3 linked regions of the Notamacropus eugenii genome follow. The protein of the gene in region 1 interacts with the protein of each later gene in a biochemical or structural test. Links are inferred from orthologs where the notes say so. Each region holds a gene or a part of one and is shown in the gene's direction. Other genes may lie near its edges.

Evidence for each region.
Region 2: the proteins of JAG1 (region 1) and NOTCH1 form a complex in vitro, tested with the Homo sapiens proteins (3 studies listed by BioGRID and IntAct, with this or other methods). The link is inferred for Notamacropus eugenii from reciprocal best matches to the Homo sapiens genes JAG1 and NOTCH1.
Region 3: the proteins of JAG1 (region 1) and NOTCH2 form a complex in vitro, tested with the Homo sapiens proteins (2 studies listed by BioGRID). The link is inferred for Notamacropus eugenii from reciprocal best matches to the Homo sapiens genes JAG1 and NOTCH2.

Annotation. Positions count from the first base shown.
Region 1 is NC_092872.1:584,019,415-584,026,687, reverse strand, and holds the start of JAG1 (protein jagged-1), read left to right. Parts: upstream 1-4,248; 5' UTR 4,249-4,735; coding exon 4,736-4,813; intron 4,814-5,587; coding exon 5,588-5,893; intron 5,894-7,097; exon of another isoform or gene 7,098-7,157; coding exon of another isoform or gene 7,158-7,247; intron 7,248-7,273. UniProt on the Homo sapiens protein: Ligand for multiple Notch receptors and involved in the mediation of Notch signaling. May be involved in cell-fate decisions during hematopoiesis. Seems to be involved in early and late stages of mammalian cardiovascular development.
Region 2 is NC_092872.1:489,518,459-489,525,994, forward strand, and holds the start of NOTCH1 (neurogenic locus notch homolog protein 1), read left to right. Parts: upstream 1-4,513; 5' UTR 4,514-4,785; coding exon 4,786-4,843; intron 4,844-7,536. UniProt on the Homo sapiens protein: Functions as a receptor for membrane-bound ligands Jagged-1 (JAG1), Jagged-2 (JAG2) and Delta-1 (DLL1) to regulate cell-fate determination.
Region 3 is NC_092873.1:300,122,161-300,130,211, reverse strand, and holds the start of NOTCH2 (neurogenic locus notch homolog protein 2), read left to right. Parts: upstream 1-4,952; 5' UTR 4,953-5,205; coding exon 5,206-5,278; intron 5,279-8,051. UniProt on the Homo sapiens protein: Functions as a receptor for membrane-bound ligands Jagged-1 (JAG1), Jagged-2 (JAG2) and Delta-1 (DLL1) to regulate cell-fate determination.

The DNA of each region.
Region 1 (7,273 bases):
CTGCCGAATTTCTTGATGAGGAAAGAAAAAAAAGAAACAATGGGTTGGTAGAACTGCACACAAAAATTCTACTTTTCCCATGATGAGCTTTGCCCTGTTATACCACCTGAAACTGCCCATCCAAAGATGTCTTCTTAGGCAAATATGGGAAGGACTGAAGAGCTGACAGGTCTTCCCTCTCTGGTTCCTTCACTGCTACTGTCTGATTGTTCTGCAAAGACATCCATGATTTCCTCAAGCTCTGGTGATATCTAAAACAAAATGAAAATATTTCCTCTGTTGTTCTGACCTCGTCTTTCTTAATCAATTACTATTCATGTGATCCTGGGGGGAAAAAAGTCACTTAACCTTTGCTTGTTTCCCCATCTGTAAAATAGTTATTTGTATTGCCTCTCAGCTTCGGGGTGGTTGTCAGGAAAATTTTTTGTAGATCTTAAAAAAAAAAAAAAATGAACTGTTACTATCAAAATAAAGGAACTAAATATAAAGAGGTTCCTGAGGTATGTGAACTTAAATGTGTGTATATATATATATGTTTATATGCATACACATATATAAACACACACATAAATATAATTTATTTTGTTTCAATATTGTTTCAATATAATTGGTTTCTTTTGTGATCATTTGTATTTTGTGCATTTAAAAACTTTATTCTCTGAAGGGAGACCACCAGTGGGTACAGGACACACTAACACCTGAAGCAAGCAAGCAGCATAGAGAGAATAGTGATAGAAGAGACAGACCAGGGGTGGGGAACCTGTGGCCCCAAGGCCACAAGTAGCACTCTAGGTCCTCAAGTTGGACTCTTTGATAGGATCCAAACTTCAGAGAACAAATCCCCTTAATAAAACTTGGACTCAGTTAAAAGTCTGCACCCAAGGACCTAGAAGGTCACATGTGGCCTTGATAGATCCTACTCCCTCCCCTCCTTCCTCCAGTACTCTCAGGACAGAGTAATAGAGAAACAAAGGGGGACTATAAGGAATAAGTTCTCACAAGTCAGTGGTTCCTCATTCTTTAGTCCTGGAGGAACAGAATTTACCTCTGTTCAAGGTAGGAGGGAGGGAAACAAAGTTCTTGAGAAACTGTAAATAATTTTCTGTTCATGACCTGTCATGGTAAAAAAAGAAAAAATGAATGCCTTCTTCTGGGAGTACCAGTTTAAATTTCTATGAATGCCCTTTCTATCCCTTTCCCTTTCCAGGGATCCCTTTCCTTCTTGGGCTCTGGGAATACTGCCTGGGAGGAACATGGTATCATTTGGAAATCTGAGGGCATCTTAAGGATTCTGAGTTTTACCTTTGACATCCTAGCACCCAACTTGGTTTGCTTCCATTGAGTAGTTTCAACCCTTCCAGAAGCGGATGTTCTGTCATAGTACTGGTCAGAAGAACTAAACTCAATGATGAGAAACCAGTTGGGGCTTGTAGTAATACCTGCCAGAGGGAGCCCCTGCCAGCCATGCATGGGCAACTTTCTTCCAGCCAGTGAGATGTTGGATATTCAGCTAAAAGGCCAACTCTGTGGGTACCACCCTGAGGTGTGTAAGGTGACAGGCCCAGGCAGGGCATTCTGACATGCTAGAGGGCATGAAATTTGAATCTGGGGTGTGTGTGGAATCTCAATTGCACATGTGTCTTAATAGCGACACAAAGAGATCACTTTAACCCTTGTTGAAAAGTCACGATGGAAAAAAAAAGTCTTGCTCTTTTCCCAAAGGTAACACACACACACACACACACACACACACACACATATGCACCCCCACCCCCACCCCCCCCACAGGGGAAGTGGATGTTCTGTTGTTTATTAGGAAGTATCTATTATATCCAAACACAAATGTATGAATGAAAAAATCCAGTGTATTTACCCCAACATTGAAAGGGGAGGAGGAGGGAAGGGGAGCATGGTTGATGTCTATGTGAACATTAGTAAGAATACCTGTAAACGAGATCATGGAATACAAGTGGACACATAGCAACTGAGGATAAAAGTAGCTTCTAAACTGCTCATGGTGGCCATGCCTCGGTTCTGAGAAACACTGAGAATAAGTGAGTTCTCCTAAGAAACACTTAACTCTCCAATGCTAACCTGCCTGGAAACAGTCTGGGAAGACAAGGGGCAGTTACTCAAGTCTGGAAGAAGTCCTCTCTCTCTCCCAGGAGAACTGTGGAAGTTTCTCAGCAAAACTTTCAAAGCCAATTAGGAGGTACTGTTAATTGATTTCCAATTCATCCATATTTAGTTGTCCTCTCTAAAGTTAAGGTCTAATTTTCTTTCCAATACCCAACATAATAGAACAGGATGCGTGTATGGGGCGGGAGGAGGGAGAGAGACAGAGAACGAATACACTTTGGGATAATGTATAAAAGACCCCAGAAAACATCAAAGTGCCAAGAAACGCTAGTTATTGATTCTTCCCTAATGGCTGTTTTTCTGAAGTTCCAAGTCCCCAGAACTCTTCACCTGCCTCTCTGTCTCCTGGGATCACGGAAGGGGATGGCTGGCCAGGTAGCTCACCCTAGCTATGAGTGGGACGGCACTGAATGCTCTTTGGGGATGCTTGCAGCTTTACACAAAAATTAACTGCGTGACCCCCCTGTCATACAACAGACGATCCCTTCTGCACGTCTGGGGGTTCCTCTTTGTGCCCCCAAAGCTCCTGGACCTAAGTCAGCAACACCGAAGTTGTGCCGAGCAGGCAGCGGAGAATTGGATCTGAAGATGTCACTTTTGATCACCCCCCCCTCCCCTCCCAAATGGCCCGAACCCTAAACGTCCTGCTCTTGCAGGGAATGATCCAGGACTCGCCCCCCGGCAGAGCTCCTCGAAAATGTAAAAGGAAAAGAATGATTGTGTAAAATCCCCAGCCACGGGGAAGGAAAGCCCGCTCCCCTACTTGCGCAGAGAACTGAGAGGCAGACAGCGCTGGAGGAGACTACACTGCGGCCCCTGGCCGTGTGAGGGAGAGTGAGTAAGAGATAAAAGCCCTCCCCCGGAGCGCGCACCCCGGCGAGCCCGGGGCCAGCGCCACCCTAGCTGCGGGGGGCGGGCCCGAGCCTTCCCCGAGGGCTTGCAGGAGCGGCCCCTCCGGAACAGTTCGGAGGCCGCCTGCAGGTGCAATCCCCGCACTGCCGAAGGGAGGCGGCCCGCCCGGCTGCGGGCGGGGAAGCCCGGGAAGCGGCGTCTAAGAATAGTCTACCCGCCCGCCCCCACGAGCGCAGCGGAGGGGGAGGGGAGGCCCTGGCCCCTCGCGGGTCTCCCCCGCCCCGCCGCTCCCCCCTGGCGCTGCCGCCGCCGCCGGGCGGCTCGGGAGGGACTGCCGAGCCAGAGGCTCTGCCACCTCCGATCCCACGGCGGAGGAAGGCAGACCCCGAAATCGCAGACACTCGGGGAACGTTTTTTTCGAAATTCCAGGCAAAGGGGGCTGCCCGGGTGGTCTCGGCCGGCCGCCCCAGCCCCCCGGCGGATCGCGGGCAGCCCGCGCCGTCCCGCCGAGCTCGGGGTGCGCGGCTCGCTCCGAGTGGAAGCTCCCTCCTTCTTCTCCTCCTCCTCCCGGGGAGAAGCCGCAATTGACGCACGAAGGGGGAGGGAGGGGAGAGAAGAAGGAAGCTTTCCAGCTCCGGCTGCGTGAAGCCGGGCCCGACCCACACGCTCTTCCCACCAGCCCGGCGTCGGCACGGCGGAAAGCCGAAGCGCGGGCCCAGCCAGCGCCCGGGCTCCGGACACACAGGGAGCCGGCCCCCCGCTTCTCCGCCTGCTTTACACACCTGAGGCGCCACGTGCCCCCCACCTCGGCCCACTTCGCCCGCCCCCGGAAGCGCGTTCCAAGCTCTAGCCCACGCGTGGGATCACATGTCACGCCTCCTCCACCACGCGGATCCTAAGGGCAGCGCTTGCCAAGGCTAAGGGGAGGAACGAAGGCATCCACATAGACGCGTATCTACACACATTCCTAATTAGTCCACCAACCCCAATGCCAGCAGTAACCCCTCTCCGTCTTTTCCACCCAGTTTCTCCCGTTTGCGTGTTCTCGCCCCATTTTGGTGTGTCTCGACCCACCCGCCCCTCTCCAGGCTCTTTTCCTCCCCTCTTGCCCCTACAGAGGGAGGTTGCGGCGGCGGCTGCCGCCCCTCCTTCCTTCCCAGCCTGGGAGAAAGGGAGGAGGGGGAGTGGGCGTGCCCGGGAGGTCTCCGGAGGGACACGCCCCCTCATGAATAGTAATAAGGAGCGCATGCGCCTTCCTGCTGCGGTCGGATAGAGTTAGAAGCCGTCTCCCAGACGGGCTCTCAGGGTTCTTCTCTGTGTGAGCCAGGCTGGAGGGCGAGCGCGGTGCGGGCGCGTGTTATTGTGTTACCTGTGAGGAAGCGGTGGCTTTTTTTTTCCCTTCCTTCCCTCCCTCCCTCCCCCCTTTTCCCTGCAGCCGATCTGAAAGGGAATAAAAGGCTGCGAATAATCATAATAATAAAAGAGAGCAGCCAGAGAGGAGGAAGAGGAGGAGGAGGAGGGGGGAGAGAGCAAGAAAAAAAAAGCGAAGAAATCAGAATAATAAAAGGAGGCTGGGCTCTTTTGCATTCAGGACCGGGACGCTATTGAAAAGGCTTTTGAAAAGTGGTGTTGTTTTCCAGCCGTGCATGCTCCCATCGGTGGAGTATATTAGCCGGGACGCGGCGGCCCCAGCAGCAGCGTTCAGTGTCTCCGCGACCGGCAGCCGAGGCTCCAGGACGAGGCGATGCTTTTACCACGGGCCCCCGTCCGGACTGAGTGCTCTTTAGGTCTGATCATCGCGCTGCTATGCTTGCGAGTGAAGGTACGTTGCACGGCCGCTGTCCTGCGCTGGGACGGGAGGAGCTGCGTGTGCCCGTGTGTGTGTGCGGGGGCCTTTCCTTTCTCCCTCGCCTTCTTCCCTTCCCCCTCCTGCCCCCCGTTAGTCACTTTCTCCAGAGTGGGTAATAAAGCTGTTTGCACCTTGGACTTGGAGGATTGCTGCCAGTGCCTCCCCGTCTTCGCCTCGCCTGCTTCTCGCCTTTCAGGACTATACGCTCCTTTTGTGGTTTTTTAGCATACGTACATACATATACCGTACCTAGATATTGAAACTCTTCTCCCCTTTGGGTGGTTTCTTTTACTACAGACGTGGTTCCCGTGCACTGCGGGGCTTAACTTGCTTTTATCCCAGTCGAGTCCTGCAGCCCCGCAGCTCTGCCCTTCCCTCGGAGTCGAGATTCTCTTTCTCAGCCTTCTTGGTTTGACGTTTATCTAGCACTAACAAATCCCTGCCCTTCTCCTTTTTCCCCTCGTCTCCAGGCTGGGGAAAACAATCACTTTAATTTCATTTCTTAGTTGTATGTGTGTGTGGTGGTGTGTTTTTTTTTCATAGAGTATTCAATTTCTTAATCCTTAAAAAAAAGTGGGAAACGTATTTTCACAGTTGTCACTATGAACTTTGCTGTTGCACGTCTTGTCCATGGGATGGGATTTCCATTTCTTCCTTCTCTTCCTCCACTCCCCCCTCCCCCGCATTAAAAAAAAATAGCCCAAGATAACTTTTTCAGAACTCTTTCTCTGGGGGGCTACTTAACAGGTGTCCTCGGCCTCGGGACAGTTCGAATTGGAGATCTTATCTATGCAAAACCTGAATGGGGAATTGCAGAATGGGAATTGCTGCCATGGCTCCCGAAATCCAGAGGATAGAAAATGCACCAGAGACGAGTGTGCTACTTACTTTAAAGTTTGCCTGAAGGAGTATCAGTCCCGGGTCACAGCAGGGGGGCCTTGCAGCTTCGGATCGGGATCTACGCCTGTCATCGGAGGGAATACTTTTAATCTGAAATCGAATCGGAATAGCGAAAGATACCGGATTGTTCTCCCTTTCAGTTTCGCCTGGCCGGTGAGTCCCAAGTTCTTTCTTGCTGTTTGCGTTTCCCTAGCGAGCGGCATTTAAAGGTCTCTATCCCTGAGCGTGTGTTCTCTTTCAGCTCCCCGTGGGGAAGTGAGGGTGGTGAAATCTTTGCTGAACGACTCGCGGAAATCCCCACGGGAGTTATGGAAAGCTCCAAGTCCCTGCAGAGCTAGGCGGCGAGCCGAGGGGGCTGTCGGCTAGGGGTTGGAAAGGGAGATTTATAACCGTGCAACTGCCTTGCGTGCTTCCTGAGCGTGCAAAGTTGGGAAGACTTAGCTGGTTTGCACGGGGGTCTTTGAGCAAGATGAAAAATCTGCATCAGTTGTGCAAAACGTTGTGCACTTAAGAGTCTGCTGGAATGAGGTCTGGGTCCCGCGCTATGCCTGCTTTCCCTCTCCCCTCCCTCGCCCCCGCCCCGGAGGAAATGAGAGGTCAAGAGTTCATCAGCAAAGTGCGGGGGTTTTTAACCATTGAAATCTGGTGCACCAGAGAAGGGAGAATGCAGTGATGGCCTGGGAGCGCGATCCAAAGGGGCACCCTCCCCTTTCCGTGAGCGGGTGGGGTGTGTCCTTACTGGAGGAGAAGCGGGTAGTAGGCGAGGGGAGAAGAGAGGGAGCCTGCCTTTCCTGCCAGGACCGGGTTGTCAGCTCTCGGCCTGGGGCTCGGGGCTCGTCGTCCCCGGTTCTGAGCTCCTCTGCAGCCCCCCGTCCAGCCCTTTACCGCGGCAGGGCCAGGAGACCCCCGGGCTTTGTGTTCGCTTGGGGAAGGGGCAGGAAGGACGCTCCTTTCCCGCCCTCGCCCCGAGCCCCCTGCTCCCCTCTCTCCGCGGTGCGGCTTCGTTTTCCGCGGTTCTCTGGCTCCTTGGAACAGCTGTGTTTTGCAAACTTCCCTGCTAAGTGCAGACCGCAGAGAAGGGAGGAGGTGGAGCCCGGAACCATGTGCTCTGGGAGGCACTGCGAGGAACCGCGAGAGCCTCCCCCTTCTGCCATCCTCGGGAGACCGGCTCCCAGGGAAGTGGCCCGGTCCGGGAAGGGTCTGCCTTCCTAACAGTTTTATTCTTTTTATGGCGGACAGGGAGGGGCTTGCGTTTTCTCTCTCTTTAAAGTAAAGGCCCCCCGAGGGACTTCCTTACTGCCCACTTTTGGGGGGAGGGAGGTGGGTCCTTCTCTTTTCTGCCATCCAGTGCAAACGTGCACGGTAAAGCGACAGGCCTTGGCAGTTGCCTCCCTTCTCCCAAAAGGATGTACTCGAAATGGTCTCTCCTTCAAAAGGAAGGCTTGGACAAAATTATCGCTACACCCTCTATCAGGGGCACGCCGAAATCTCTAGAAGCTGCGGTGAGGTGGGGAACTTTGGGTTTTAAAGCTG
Region 2 (7,536 bases), about 95 Mb from region 1:
GAGCTTTGTCTCTAAATCTTGGCCTCAAAGAACAGAATGAGGAATAATGGGAAGTTGCAGAGAGGCAGATTTTGACTTTGTGTGAAGAAAAACAAAACAAAATTAACCCTTCTAACAACTGGGGCTATCTAAAAGTGGAACAGACTGCCTCAGGGAGGCTGTGAGTCTGTTGGAGATCTTCAAGTAAAGGCTAGATCACTTGTTCACTTTTAAGGGATATTGTAGAGAGGATCTTCTTTAGAAATAGGTTGCATTAATGAAAACAGCCCTGGCTTTCCATCTTACAGCCATCATTTTGGCAAAGATGAACAAAAGAATGGAAAATGACAATTGTTGGAGTAGCTGCAGGAAAAAAGGCAACTCTTTTGTATGTACTGTTGGGAGAAGTGTGAGTTGGTACCATTCTAGAAAGCAATTTGGGACCATACTCCCCAAAAATTGCTAACCTTTTCATATCCTTTCACCAACTGATATTGCTATTGGGTTAAAACCCAGAGATGAAGGAAAGAGAAAAAAGGATTAATTTGTACAAAAACATTTAAAGGAGCACTTTTTCTCATATTAAAGAATTAGAAATAAGGGGAGTACTTATCCATTGGAAAATGGATGAGTAAGTAATTTGTGGTCTATGAAAGGGATGGATTCACAGACTTGTATATATGATTGTATATAGAGCGAATTAAGTAGAATCAGGGAAACAATTTATTTAATAGCTATAACACTGTACAGAAAAGCAACTTTGGAGGACTTGATTAAGTATTTTGATCAAATAGAGAACCACCATCATTCCAGAAGATTCGTGATGAATCTTAACTCCCTAATTTTGACAGAGAGGTCTAAAGGTTCAGAATGTGACATACATTTTCTGACATGGCCATTGTATAGATCTGTTCTGCTTGACTATACTTATCTGTTGCAAGGAAAAAAAATCTTTGGAGGATGGGGGAGAAATCATGAAGGGAGCAGTAATAGTGATGCCAAAATAAGAAGAAAAAAGATTGTTAATGAAACATTTCTTTATTAAATACACAGAAGAGATCAGAAGGAAATTCAGAAAGAGACACAGGTGAACAAGAATGTATTGGAATTACCATGTAGATTTATTATAGATTTATAAAGATAATAACCATGATTTCAGTAATTGAGATTCATATGCAATTCTTTTTCTATTCTTTGTATATAAAACTAATCAAGGAGATAGATGTCAAGTCAATAAAAATGATTAAAACATTTGAAACACTTTTGAAAATGTATTGAATTAGATGACCTTTGAAATCTTTTCTAACTCTGAGGTTCTGATATAGTCTGAGTAGTGAACTGGGATAGACCGTCTACTTCCAGCCAGGCCAAGTAAATTCTGGGATCCATCCTATGATCTTGTGGGACAGAGTGGGTGGAAAAACGGCCACTCAACTGTGAAGTTGCTGAACTTAACGTCTCTCTGCTTAAGTAACCTTTAATGTTAGACTTTGGTTTCCTTTGATGAAAAGATTCTTCAAACAAACAGACTCAAGTATCTAGGAACCCTCCACAAAGTGCTTGAGAACATAATTTGTTACCAACTTTGGGGAAGTGTTTGTAAATAAGGTAGAGAAAGTCTTCAGAAGCTCAATTTGTAAATGAAAAGGTTTTAGCTACTCTGGTAAGGATAGTTGTGGTCTACTGCTTTCTAAGGTAATGCATCCACATAAAGCCAGCTAGTTCATTAAAAAGAGAAGAGAATGGCTTAAAATTTTTGTATAAATCAATGAAATATCTCCCCCAGCACCTAACACAGTACAAAGTAGGTTTAACAGATGGTTGTTTAATGGAATCAAAGCAAATGCAGGCCTACAGACCTTGAGATAGAAGGGATTTTGACGCTTGGATTTATTTTTGAGTATGTTTTCACACACCTAGACACCATCTGGAACTTTGTTGGGTTTTTGACATGGGGTCTATTTAGATGGATACAATCTCACTATCCTTTTCTTCCAACTTCATGTTGGACTCACAAGGCCATAAGTTTGGAGAGAGTAGAAGGCAGGAGTTGAGGATGGGGATGGGGGAAACAGAGGGTGGTGGAAATACTATATTCTTTGACAGCATTTTCTCTCACTTCTCAAATCCTTGCAATCTGGCTTCTGATCTCATTGTTCAAATGAAACTGCTCCCTCAAAATTACCAATGATCTCTTAATTAGTCAAATCTAATGGCTTTTTCTCAGTTCTCATCCTTCTTGACCTTGCTATAGCATAGGACACTTGCTAATAACTCTCTGCTCCCATCTCCTCTCTCTTCTCTGAGTATTGTCATCCAATTCTCCACCTATTTGTCTGGCTATTCGTTTATCAAGGATGAGCACACCCCTGAAACTGCTCTCCTGGGTCACCATCCATGGCCCATACTCTAATGGGGTATGCCCCAAGAGTCTGTCCTGTGATCTCTACACTCTACTCTCTCTACCACAATCTCATCCATCCACTTATCTTTTTGGTGATAATTTCCAGATCTACAACTATAGATCTCCCTATGGTCCATCATCAACTGATTGTTGGACTTTTCCACTGAGAGGTCCCATAGGCAGCTCAACTCAACAAGTCCAAAGTAGGTAGAATTCATTATCTTTTCCCCCAAACTCATACATCTTCCCAATTTTCCTCTTTCCTTTGAGGATACCATCACCCTCTCAGTAACTCAAGTTTGAAATTGAAATCTTAGAGTCATTCCTGACTTTTCATTCTTCCTGATTACCCATATCTAATTAGTTATCAAGTTTTGTTGATCTTCAGCCATAAAATTTCTGGCCTCTTCTCTACGCTCTGGATGCTACTATGATGCTACTACTACATGCTACTACTCTAGCCTAGGACCTCATCCCTCTAGAATGGGATAATGCAGAGGTGTCCCAGTTGGTCTCCCTGCCTCTAGACCCTCTCCTCTCCAAAACATCCTCCACCAAGCTGTGACAACAACCTGAGGCCTAAAGATCTGCCTCAGTCATTTATCTGTTCAAAGAGCTCCAAAGGCTCTTTATTGCTTTTAAGATAAAAATACCATCTCCTTTGGCATTCAGAGATTTTCACACTGACTCCAAAAAACCTTTCCAGACTCCTTGCACATTATTCCACTTCATACACACTACATTCCTGTTAAATGGCCTATTTGCTTCTCTTGGTACATAACATTCCATCTCCTGCCTGTGTAGAGACCCCCCAGCTTGGTATCCCTTAGCAGCTTCAAAATCTAGGACAAGTCCCTCTTTTATATACAGCCCTTCCTGATCTTTCCCAACACCTAGTGTCTCTTCTCTCCCCCATCCTATCTACTTTTTATTTACAGGGTATGGATTTCGTGCTTACTTGTATGTGTAGATAGTTCCCCAACAGAATTAATAAGCTTCTTGAGGGCAAAAACTGTTTGTTTTTTGTCTTTGTATCTCTAGTGATATAGTTCCTGGTATATAGTAAGTGGTTAAATAAATACTTGCTGATTGGTTGGATTTGGAGTCTTGGGACCTGGATTCAAATCCTGCCTCTAATACACACTATCAGTGTGAATTTGGACAAAGCCTCTTAACCCTCTCTATGTCTTTCAACGAGAGGTTGGAATAGATGACCTCCGTGGCACCCGAAAACCTACCCCTCTAAGAGAGTCAAGTGCACGAAGACGTCATGGTCAAATGTGTTCAAGTCCCCAGTCACCTTCCTATGGACCCGTCTGGTCTCCTAGAAGTGCCCAGAGTTACAGGGAATGAGGGGGTGGAGGGAAAGAGATCAGGATGAATGCACAAACCTGTCTGTGCTCCACGATTAATTCCTAAGTTAGGAAAGGGGGATTTAGGTCACCCCCAAGTCTTACCCAAATCCAACATCCACTCCAGGAAAGCTCTCGAGGGTGGGGCCCGAGAATACTCCTCCAAACCCAAGTCCCCCTAGCCCAGCTCACTGCCTTTTAAGGCATTCAGATCAGTCTTTGGGACAATCCCTGGCTCTTCGTCCTGAACGTTCCTTCCACTTTCCCTGTCTTCTCTACCTCTGCATGAAGTCCCCACAGAGCATCCCGTAGAGGGAGGCCGGAGACAAGGTTAGGAAGGGAAGGTGGCTGGGACTAAGCACACCCTACGCTCCACTCTGCTGGTCCCCGGCCCCGAAACCAGTGGCTCCTCCATTGACATGCAAATACGTAAAAGACTAGGCGAAGAACAGAAACTTCATGCAAGAACCAAGAATCCCTCCGCAAGCTCACAACAAACTTTCAGTAGTTTCTGAAACTTTCAAACGAGAAGTAGTCCCCTGGCACGGGAGGCCCTCCCAGCCCCAGAAAAGTATTCGGGGTTCTTCAAGAGAGCTTTGGACACCCCAGAAAGCATCTTCGGCCCGCGGTCTCTCCGGGGAGCTCTGGAGCTGAGAGAAGCGAAGCTCCATAGGGAGGGGGTGGAGGGGGAGCGGAAGGATTCGGAGAAGAGGGAGGTTCACGGCTGGGGTGGGGGGGAGGAGCAGGAGGAGTGGGAGAGGCGCGGAGCTCGCAGCTTCACTTAGTGTCTTGGCAGCTGTAGGTTACGTAGGGTTGAGCCGGAGCGGCGCGGAGAAGTCTGCGAGGAAGCGAGGGAACGAGGGAACTCGGGCAGTGCGTGCGCGCCCGTCCGCCTGCCGAGAAAGGGAAGACGAGGGCGAGATTGGCTCCCTAGCTGAGAGACGCTGCTTAGGATTTCCCTGCCCGTTCGGAGACCTTATGTCACTCTGAGCCTTTCTGGGATTGCCCGAGCGAAGCGCCGCTGGGGGAGAGCTGGCCGCTGCTGGAGGCATGCGGCCGCTCCTAGTGCCCGTCGTCTGTCTGTCGCTGCTGCCGGTCCTCGCACGAGGTAGGACTTGGGGCTGCTCCAGTGGAGATCGGAACCCCCAGATCTGGGGGTGGGAGAACAATCTGGCGGGGCGGGCAAGCCCGCAAACTTTGTGCACCGTTGGAGAAAACTTTTTTCCTCCTGGAAAAGAGACGCGGCTAATCCAGCCAGTATTGGGGAGAGAGTGAACAGGCATGGATTGTACAAGGGGAGGGGAAAGCAACCTGGCTTGGTCACTACGGGCATCGTGTGATGGTGCAGGCAGCAGCGAAACGGGTGGGTGGGTGAGTGGGAATGTCAGTACCTCCCTGGCCGGGATGGGACCCCCTGGAGTCACCTTTTCCCAGCTTTGCGCCCCTGGCTATGTGCAAGATGTCATCCATCCCCAGTTTCCCCACTTTCCGGGAGACTCTTGGCTGCAGGGAAGACTACTCCCTCCCCCAATTTGGGGGCTCTGTTTAGGGAGGGGATTGAGGTGGCACCGGGAGGGGAAGGTGCGGAGTGTGGCTTGTGTGTCCAAACTGATGGAAATATAGGGAGGGTTCCAGATGCCTTGGAGGCTGAGGCTAAGTTCTTGAACGACCCTTACTCTCCGCCTGCTTTCTCTCCCGCCCCCTTCCAAATCTGCATCCCCCTACCCGCAGTCAAACCTGCATTTCTCCATGCACTGCCAAACCTACATTCCCCCCCTACCCCGCGCTCCCGCCCCGGGCCAAACCTGCATCCCCCCATCCCCCCCCCCGCTTTGGGTTTTTTCTCCGCTGGCTGAGTTCTTTCTATTCGAACTTGAGTCAGGTTTCCTGTTCTCTCTGGTCTTTTCTTCTCCGTCTGCCCACTCCACTTTCGGGTCGAGGGCTGGGGGCGGATGTCAGCGGCGCGGGGTTTTCGGGCTCAGAACAGTGTTGAGTTTTTGCGAGGAAACCGACGGAAGCCCGCTCCCCGGTGCCGTAGCGGGGGGGGGGGGGGGAATATGTGGCCCCACTCCCTGGGGCTGCAAGGGCTCTGCATTCCGGCCGTTGTGCTGACCTTGGCCACTCTGGTGGGAGAGCCGTCCCGCAGGCTACGGGAAAGTTGCTTGAAGCTTAAGGGATGAGTAACTTTTTGGTCCAAAAACCTAAAACTTCTAAGCATCTGTAACCCTTCCTGGAAAAAAAGGCGGGGGAGGGAAGAAAAAAAAGTTTCACAGAACATTCTCTGGCTCCTGTGATCTCACCCTCTACTTTGGAGTTTTCTTTTCTCCTGACCTTAAGGAATGACAACTCTCTCGGGACTGGGAGAACGTTCACTTGCAGGGGGCCCCCCATACGGCTCCCTCCTCCCCCTCAGCCCACGGAGCAGCGATGAGTCAGGCAGCCCTCTGCCGGGTGTCCTCCACTCACTGCCTCCCTCCTCTCTGCTTCCCACGCTTCGTGGGCGCCCCTCCCCGAGCGGTGCAAAGAAGAACAACACTGCCTAACCCTCCTCGCCCCTCTTTGAAAAAAGTGTTAAAAGAAAAAAAAAGGCCGCAGACTTTGGGCACAGCTCTCCCCGCCGCCCCCAGCCCACCCCAAACTCTTAATTTCAGTTGACTCTCCAAGAAAGGAGGTCGCTAGAGGGGACGGGCCCACTAGATTCTCATGTTTGATATATATAGCCCGAACCCCTCATTGGGGCTTTAAGTTGGGGAAGCACTTCTCTCTCTGCCCAGGAATGGAACCGGGATGGTGGAGGGGGGTGTCCGCGGAATTCTGTGAATTGGCCCAGCATTTGAGGGGTGGGGGGTGAGGTGGAGGCGGGCCCATTGGTGCACCTCAGATCTTCCCGGGAGCAGGTATTGAGTGTCCCGGGAGGTAATATTCAATCCTAGCCCTACAGTCAATAATGCAACAAGAGGTGTCTTTAAACGAGTTACAATGGGCGGCTCTGATTCCCGCTTTGTTGGAGTTCAGGGGAAGCTGGGCCCCGCAGCTGTCGCATTTTCCCACGAACCAGGAGGGGAGTGTGTGCGGCTTGCTTTGGGGCCATTCAGACTCCCCCTCCAGGACTGGCTAGATAAGTCACTTTACCATGAATGTTTGAACAGGCAGACAATTCACTGCATTTCTGAGCGCTCACTGTAGTCTGAGCTCCCCCCCCCCCACTCCCTCCTCCCTCTTCTCTCTCCTCCCTTTTCCTCTCTTTCCCTTCCCTCCTCCCCTTTGAAAGAGATGTGGATCTCCCCTCAAGTATAGGCTTCTGGTTGGGTGGGCGAGAAGGGAGATCGAGGGAAGTTTGGGAAAGTCATGCTGGTGGAATTTTTGAGTAGTTGAATTGGTCAGATTGGCTTCTGGGTAACTTTTCCCATCCTTTGCCAAGTTATTGTGCAATTTAGAGCTAGTAGGCTGGGATAGACCTTGGATAGCTGGCTTTATAGAAACAGCCCAACTTTCAGTCTATCATTCTTCCTTCCTACCTCCTTGTTGACTTCATTAAGAAAATCAAAAGAATTCATTAGAAGGGTTATCTGCCCTTAAGAAATCTGGTACCTGTGTATGTTTCTATACATACATACCTGTATTTATATGTGGAAGTGGATGTACACACATATGATAGATGTAGAATATTTACTGAATGTACATTTTTCTTCTACAACTGACTCAACAGTTCAGCAATAATGAATATTTACTAAGTGCTTATGATGGTATAAATAGATTATAGTACTATGCTAGATGGAATGGGATGGGGAAGATAACAAA
Region 3 (8,051 bases), on another chromosome or scaffold:
GAACAACAGTTCTCCCATTAAATCATTTTCTGAACTCAATTTGATGGTAATGAGCAAGTTTTTTTGCTAATACTAATTTTTTAAATGTTTATTCATTTTCTAACTTTTATTCTAACTAACATTCCAAATTCTCTCCCACCTTCCAGCCCCTCCCTCACCCATTGAGAAGGCAGCAGTAGGATGCCCATTAGATGTGATGTCATTCAAAACTTATTTTCAGATTAGTCATGTTTTTTGCTTTTACTATTAATTGAAGCACACAAGTGTTGCTTAAACTAACAATAATTAGTTTTAAAAGTACACAGTAAAGAGAAGTACAAGATTTCTGAATTCACCAGCTGTTCCATTATAGATAATTAGGTAGTCTTAAGGATTTATATAATATAATCTATAAGATTATATTATCTATGAGATTACATAATATTATGTTCAGCACTTTGACGGATCTCTTCACTGGATGGATCTCATGGCACTTCAGGATTTCTCGTATTCTATGATTCTTTCCTATTTCTTCCTGTAAATCCTCTGTTGAGAACCCATCCAACATCCTAGAGTCCTTCCTCTGATTCTCTCAATAGTTTGTGGATACCAGGACAATATATGGACTGCCCAGCTGTTAACTCACGCTCAACACATGAGCCACATACTTCCTTTTTCCCTTTCACACATCCTTGATGGTATCTTCTCATGTGCTAATTTTTGTTGGTGATAGGATGAGGTCTAATTATACTCACAGATCATACTTCTGATAATATATATATACATGTACACATTACATATATATGATATGTATGCATAAAAATGCATATTTATGAATGATTTCCCAAACAAGACCAATTTACTTATACACATCAAAAGAATTTCATGTAGCTATAATCAGTACAAAGTATCAAACAGGGTCTAACCCTCAAATATAGGAACAAGGTAAAAAAAAAAAGATGCTACCCTCTGTGATGATTAATAAGGCATGGCTTCTCAAATTTTGTCCTGGAATTCTCAGCAAGGGTAGATGTCTTCTCAGATTTTACCAAACTAAAATATAATGAATGTGGCTATGCATCATATTCTGGCTGTGGAGCTTTATGAATCCTGGGCCTACTAAGCAACTTTCTGACCCTACTCCTAAGGAGACTTTCCTACCAGGAAGTACATGTGCTCTCCTCTCAACATTAAATATTTTAGTCTAATTTCTAATTCTCTTTTTCAGCATAAAATTAGTAAATTGTCATTCTGGTTTGATCATTGACTCTTCAGGGAGATAGGCTGGAGTGAATCCGTTTTCTAGAACCAAATCTCCCATAGGTGAATTTATAAAACTTTGGTCCTAACCATATAAAGCTGCTAAAACTCATGGATTGTAATGACATTAATGACATATGGACAATTTTTACCAACACTTAATGCAAATTAACGAGACTAAGACATTGGCAAGTGTGTGTCCCCCCAATTACCAACTGCAGTGTCTCTCACATCCATCTGCTCCTTTCTATTATCCTCCTTTAAGGGACTCATTATCTCACATGAAGATTATGGTAAATATTCCCTTGTCTTCAGTCTCTACCTACTCCAATCTGTTCTACACACCACCAGCTGGTTGACCTCACTTTCCAGATAATGCACTGTGAGGTATCATGGTAGTGGAAGGAATACTGATCTGGAGTCAAAGGACAAAATCATGGAATGTAAGACTTGGAGAAGAACTCAGTGGCATAACTAGAAAGTTCAACCTGGCCATGAAAAGAAGCCACACTACAAAATACCCAACTTGCAGTTATTTAGCCTCTGCTTAAGGACCTCCAGGTAAGAGGAACCCATTCTCTCTTAAGGCATCCCATTCTACTTTTGAATAGCTCTTTTTTCCTGACATCAAGCCCAAGTTTACCTTTTTTTACTTCTACCCATTGGATTTGGTTCTACCCTCTAAGACCAAACAGAACAAATAGAATCCCTCCTCCAAATGAAAACCTTTGAGTATGTGAAGATGTTCTATTCACCTTGATTCATCTTTTCTGCATACTCTGCATGCCCAATACCATCAATGAAAACTCATATAACCCAGACTCAAGACCTTCCACCATGCTGGTTGCCCTTCTTTGGTAATTTTTTACCAATGTTATCAATGTCAACCATTGACAGAATATGTCTCCAGATGAGGCCTGATTATGGCAGAATACAACAGGCCTATCAGTTCCCAGCTGCTAGTAATTATGATTCTCCTGATGTACTTCAGGATTTTATTAGCTCTTTTTGGCTGCTAGACCTGGATTCAAGTCTTAGCCATGCCACTCACCAGCTTTGTGACCATGGTAAATCATATCCCTCCCTCCCCCAATTCTTAGTTTCCTAATCTGCAAAATGGGCCAATGGTATTTGTGGCTGGGTATAGTGGTTAGAGGCTAGTTTTAGAATTGGGAAGATCTGGGTTCAAGCCTTAATTCTGACACAGACTAGCTGTGTGATTATGGGCAAGCCGCTTAATTTCTTCAAACCCCAAGCAAGTCTCTAAAGTTACAAATTATACAGACCAGTTGCGAGAACTGCTCCATAATTTTGAATGTATAGTTCCCACATCTGGAGTTCTCCAATGAAATAATAAGTCCAGATACACATATACCCAGTTTAAAAAAAAGAAGAAAAGGGATTTTTGTGGGGGCAAAGCACTCTAAATTGTAAATTAATATATAAATGTGAGCTATAATTTTTATATTATAGCAAGTTGTATTTCCTATTTCCCCACTAGGCCATTCCATATTGTAGTTAAAAAAATGTTTCTCTACCAGTACCTAGCACAGTGCTCTGAACATAGTAGGGGTATTTGATGAATTGAAATTTGATGAATTGAAATGTGTCTGTTTTTCCATGTACTAGTGATGTCATAGAAGGACAAATCATTTAACCACTTTATGACTCAGTTTTCTCTTCAGTAAGATTATTATCTACTCTTCTGTAGTTTTGTGCCACTTTTGGGCTCAAAATCCTTCAGTGGCCTCCCATTGTTAACAAGCTAAATTTTAAACTGGCATTTCATCATCTGACTCCTATCTCTTTCCAGGCTCATTCTTACCACTTTTCTAGGCACAAGCATTCTGCTTCCTTTCTTTGCATGTTTGTTTGCGTGTCCCCTATCTAGAATACCTGTTTTCTTCTTCAGATACTTCCCATTTTCAAGGACCACATCAAGTCCTACTTGCAGTTTATGTTATTGACTCAGCCCACAGTGATTCTCCCTTCTCTGGGCACCTCTGCTCCTATCATCTTGCACTTATCACGTCTTGTATTGTTACTTGACTTTTCGGTGAGTGTCAGTGTTGGCAACTAGACTGTAAGTAGGTTATATGGTGACAAGGATGTGCTAGAGCTTGGATATTTGTACCTCAGAAATCAGCAAAACAATCAGGACTTGATTTATTATTTTGTTGATCATCTAGACTTTAGAAAGTGATGGAGAAAATGTTAATAATGCAGATTAAATTTAAAAGTGTGTCATGGGTATGTACTTTAAAAAAATTTTTGGAGAGCAGTTTGTTAAACATTTACCAGCTCACCTCTGGTAGGGGCTTAGAAGTATAACAACCCTCTGAGTTGAAAAACTCAATAAATATTTGTTTAAAGAATGGTAAGCTGCCTCTACCCTGTTCTGCTTCCTGTTCCCCAAATTTCTCCTTAACCATGGTCCTCCTTCATGACACTGATGTATAACCTTTGGGTAGAAGGGCAGCATTATGTATACATATACATATATATATACACACATATATATGTATACATATATATATAATAGGGATTTAACCTAGGAAAGATCTTAAAGTTCCAACTCCCTCCTTTTATAGATGAGGAAACTGAGATCCAGGCAGCTAGGTGGTGCAGTGGATAATAGCTCAGGGCTTATAGGTGGGAAGACCTGAGTTCAAATCCAATACTTACTAGTTGTGTGACCCTAGGCAAGTCAATTACCCCATTTGCCTCAGTTTCCTCATCTATGAAATGAGCTGAAGAAGGAAGTGCCAAACCATTCCATTATCTTTGCCAAGAAAACCCTAAATGGGGTCAGAAAGAGTCGGACATGACTGAAAATGACTCAAACAACAATGACTCAGACTCAACCTGAGGCTAATAGAGGCTCATAAATGACATGGCCATAGTCACACAAGTAAAAGTGGAGTACCTATTTTCTTTTTTACACATGAGGAAACTGAGGCCAAGAAAGATTAAATGACTTGCCCAGAGTTGCCCAAGTAATGATCAGAATAGTGGGGATTTGAACCCCAATCCAGCTCTGTCCACTGCAGTGTAGCCTAAAGGTAAAGGCCTAAAAAGGCCAAGGTCTCCCATTGCATCCTGGGCCATCGCCCTGATGAATATCTGGTCACTGGAACCAGACGTCTCAGAAGGAGAAAGTGAGGCTAGTGACCTTGCACAGCCCTCCCTCACTCAAATCAAAGTCAAGTGCAAGTCATGTCATCATTCTTCTCCATCATAAAGGTGAAGGTAGAGGCTGCTCCCGTCTCTTCCAGCTGTAAATCGAAGGTGCTAGGACCTTCCCAAGGTCACCCAGTGAGAGGGCCTAGGTCTTCTGATTCTAACCCAAATTTCTTCCCATCACACCGGACCTCCCTGTAGAGCCCAATGCTCTAGGCTCGGGCTCCCCGACCTCTTCTCCATCAGCACGCGCTCCTGCCCACGCTGGCGAGATCTCCAGCATCGACAGGGTTAAACCAGAGTCTCCGGCCCCGACCCGCGACTAGAAGGAATGGGGGGTGGGGGGGGGGAGCGGGAGGGAATCGTAGTAGATCCCTCCGCGGGGAAATCGTGCCGGAACTTTTTCGTGCGGGAAACCCCGGGGTACGGAAGGCGGCGGCTGCTGCTGCTGGGGAGGCGAGGAGGAGAAGGAGGAAGAGGAGGAGGAGAGCCGGGGAGGAGAGCCGGGGAGTAGGAGGGCGGGGCTTTCCCCAGGGGGAGGAGGGCCGAGGCGGAAGGACACACGAGGCTGAGAGAAGCAGAAACTTTCTGCCAAACTCCGGGAGGCGGCGGTGTCTGGAGCTGGAGCTGGTGCTGCGCGAATCCCGGGGCGCGGGGCGATCTGGGGCCCCCGCACTAAGGTCCTAGCGCCGCGGCTGAAGCTAGACAGTGGGGGGGCTCCCCAGCAGGGACCCCCCCGCCCCATGTGGATCCGCTTGGGTGGAGGAGGAGGAGTTGACCGAGAAGATGCCCGCCCTGAGTCCTGCCCCGCTCTGCCTGCTGCTAGTTCTCTGGCTGTGCCAGGGCGCGCCCACCCTAGGTGAGTATCTCCAGGTGGCCGAAGTGGGCTCTCTCCGCCCCCCGGTCACTCCGGGGTCCACCCTTTTCCTTTCCCTTCCCGGGCCACCCGCAGTTACTCTCCGCCTTCCGCGCCGGGGCACGGGGAAAGGTGGGGGGCTCTGGGCTTGCCGGACTCTCTGCAGCTTTCCCTGGGAGTGAAGCACTTTGATTAAGGAAAGCTCCGGACGTCTTCAGTTCCTTCTCCTCAGAGATGGGCGGGGGAGGGGAGCCGCACGCCCCCTCCTCTTCCCCGGCCCGAGCAGGGGTGGGAGGGGGCCGCTGGAGGCTCGGCCGCCGAGGACTGGGCGAGAGCCGAGCTGACCTCGGGCCCTGCCTAGCCTAACAAAGGGTTACAGTTCAGCAGGCTGCGAGCCGCACGCCCCTAGCGCTTCTGGCTCCTGGAATGCCAGACGCCCTCGTGGGGGGAGGTCGCCCTCGGACCGAGCCGATCTTACCTTCCCTGTCCGGGAATGTTAGATCAGAGCCCCAGCCTGGGCTCTGGGTGAAGGGGCAGGGTCCACCGAGCCCAGCCCAGTCGGACAGAAGTTTATTAAGCCCTGACTGTGTGCTGGGCAGCCCGCCTTGGATTTCTGACAGTCTCCCTTCTGCCTGGGTATCTCGGGAGTCTCGTGGGCATTGCCTGCATTGTGGCAGAAGAGGGAAAAAACTCATGTGGCTGCCTACTAAAGCAATTAAAATTTCGATGGCTGTCATTCCCTCAAAGACACAGATCCCCGCATTTATCTTTGGGAACCCGGCGGGGGCGGGGGCGGGCGCGGGCGGGGGTGCAACTTGTAAGAACTGCTATGTGACATTGACCGTCTACTTCAACTTGGAGGCAGTATTGGGCTTCTCTTCAGTGATCTCACCCGCCCCCTGTAGAGAGTGGGTTGAGTGGGAGGGGTAACACTTATTCTCAAAGTGCCTTAATTAGGATGTCTTCTAAGAGTTATAAAAACCTGTCTCTGAACGCATTTGAAGGTCATTTTGCTAAAGAAAAAAAAAGTGGGGGGGGGGGGGGGAAGGAATCTAAATAATGAAACTGTCTTTTCCAGGAAGAATTTTACTAAAACCACAAACGAGAACTGTTCTTACTTTTAAAGTAAAGGTATTCAGCTTTGAGGTGATTTTTGTCTATTCTCAATTTTGAATACCAGGAGATGTTAAAAAATGCACACTAGGTTTTTTTTTTGTTTTTTTGTTTTTTTTTTTAAGAGAGTAGAGGTATCCTTCCACCTGAAAACGTAGACGTAGGCATTTTCTGGTGCAAATGCACCTGCCCAAGGATATCAGAGGTGAACCAAAGATATGTGTAGAAAGAACCGTGATTATACTTTCTGATGTAGTAGCGTCAGTGAAAAGCATGGAGAAACATTTCAAGTTGTCTAAGCCCCTTTCTTCTCCTTAAAATGAAAGAAATGATGTAATGTGTGATTGGGGTGGGTGGAGGTGGCAAAATTAGTAAGATCAGATGGACGCTTGAGTCTAGGGAGTTGTAATCCTCACTCATTCTCTTAGTTTGTTTTGGCAAGTTAACTAATCTCTCTGACCCTCAGTTTCCTTGTTGTTTAAAAAAAAAAAGATGGGAAATAAATAAAACTTTCCAGACTCATTGGGGCAGAACTAATAGATGAGATTAAAAGACACAGTACAAAATTGTGCAAAATAAGAAGAAAATAGAATTCCTTTCTGTGAAGAGGGGACGTTTCTCGTTTAAGGATCCTCCAACACTGATTTGTGTCTCCCTAGCTGTGCAGGTGGCAGGTATTGGCATCCCTGTCTTACAAGTGGAGAATCTGAGCGTTAAACTAGTAAATAGAATCCTCAGTTTTCTATGCTGTATACTTGACTGCCCAAGGGAGGGTAAACCCTACTTTTTAGTGACTATCCTGAATTACACCAAATTAATAACTGTGAACTCTTTTCTGAAAATCTCCATCTTTTATCACTTGGGTTCTCCCAAGGTACCAATTAGAACACGCCTTCTGACCCTTTGAATCTCTTGTATTGGGCTTGTGGCCAGGATGTAATTTACACATCATTGAGTTCTCCAGCCGAGATCTGTCAGCCCTATTCTTCTGGTTCTGCGAACAGCCGTCTGTGACCACACCTATATCCCAGGATCTCCTTTCCCTGCAGTTGGTAGGTACTTTTCAGATCTTGCTACCAATTTGATAATTCACCTTGATCTGGTGAATTTCTATAGAATCCCCTCCTTGACTTTTGTCTTACAAATATCTTTTGAAAATGTCATACTCTTGTCAATTTATTTGAATACTATGACAAAAGGCACAATAAAACAAAAGAGCATAATTTTTTGCCTCTTTTTTTTTCCTTTGCACTGCTCTCCTTTCTCTTTTTTATGACATTCGAGGTAGGAAGGTAGGGTACAGGGAGACATTCTTGACTGACTTTTCTCAAGAAGTGGCATTAATTTTAACCCACTGTACTGCCCTCCCTAGGTTGATTGTTTCCAATTTATTCTGTATATTGCCTGTATATTGTCTCCTTCATTAGACTGATCTCTTTGAGTGCAGGGTCTGTCTTTTGCCTTTCTTTGTATCCCTAGTGCTTAGCACAGTGAATGGAAGCATTTAATAAATGTTTGTTGACTGACTGAGTGCTCGATTCAGGAGGTGACCTTTGTCCTCTCCCTGCTTTGTCTCTGTGCTCTCCAACTGCTGAAAGGGGTACTTTGTCACATGGATTGTGACCTTCCTTTGGGAGATACCTGGATGTATCTAGAAACTTTA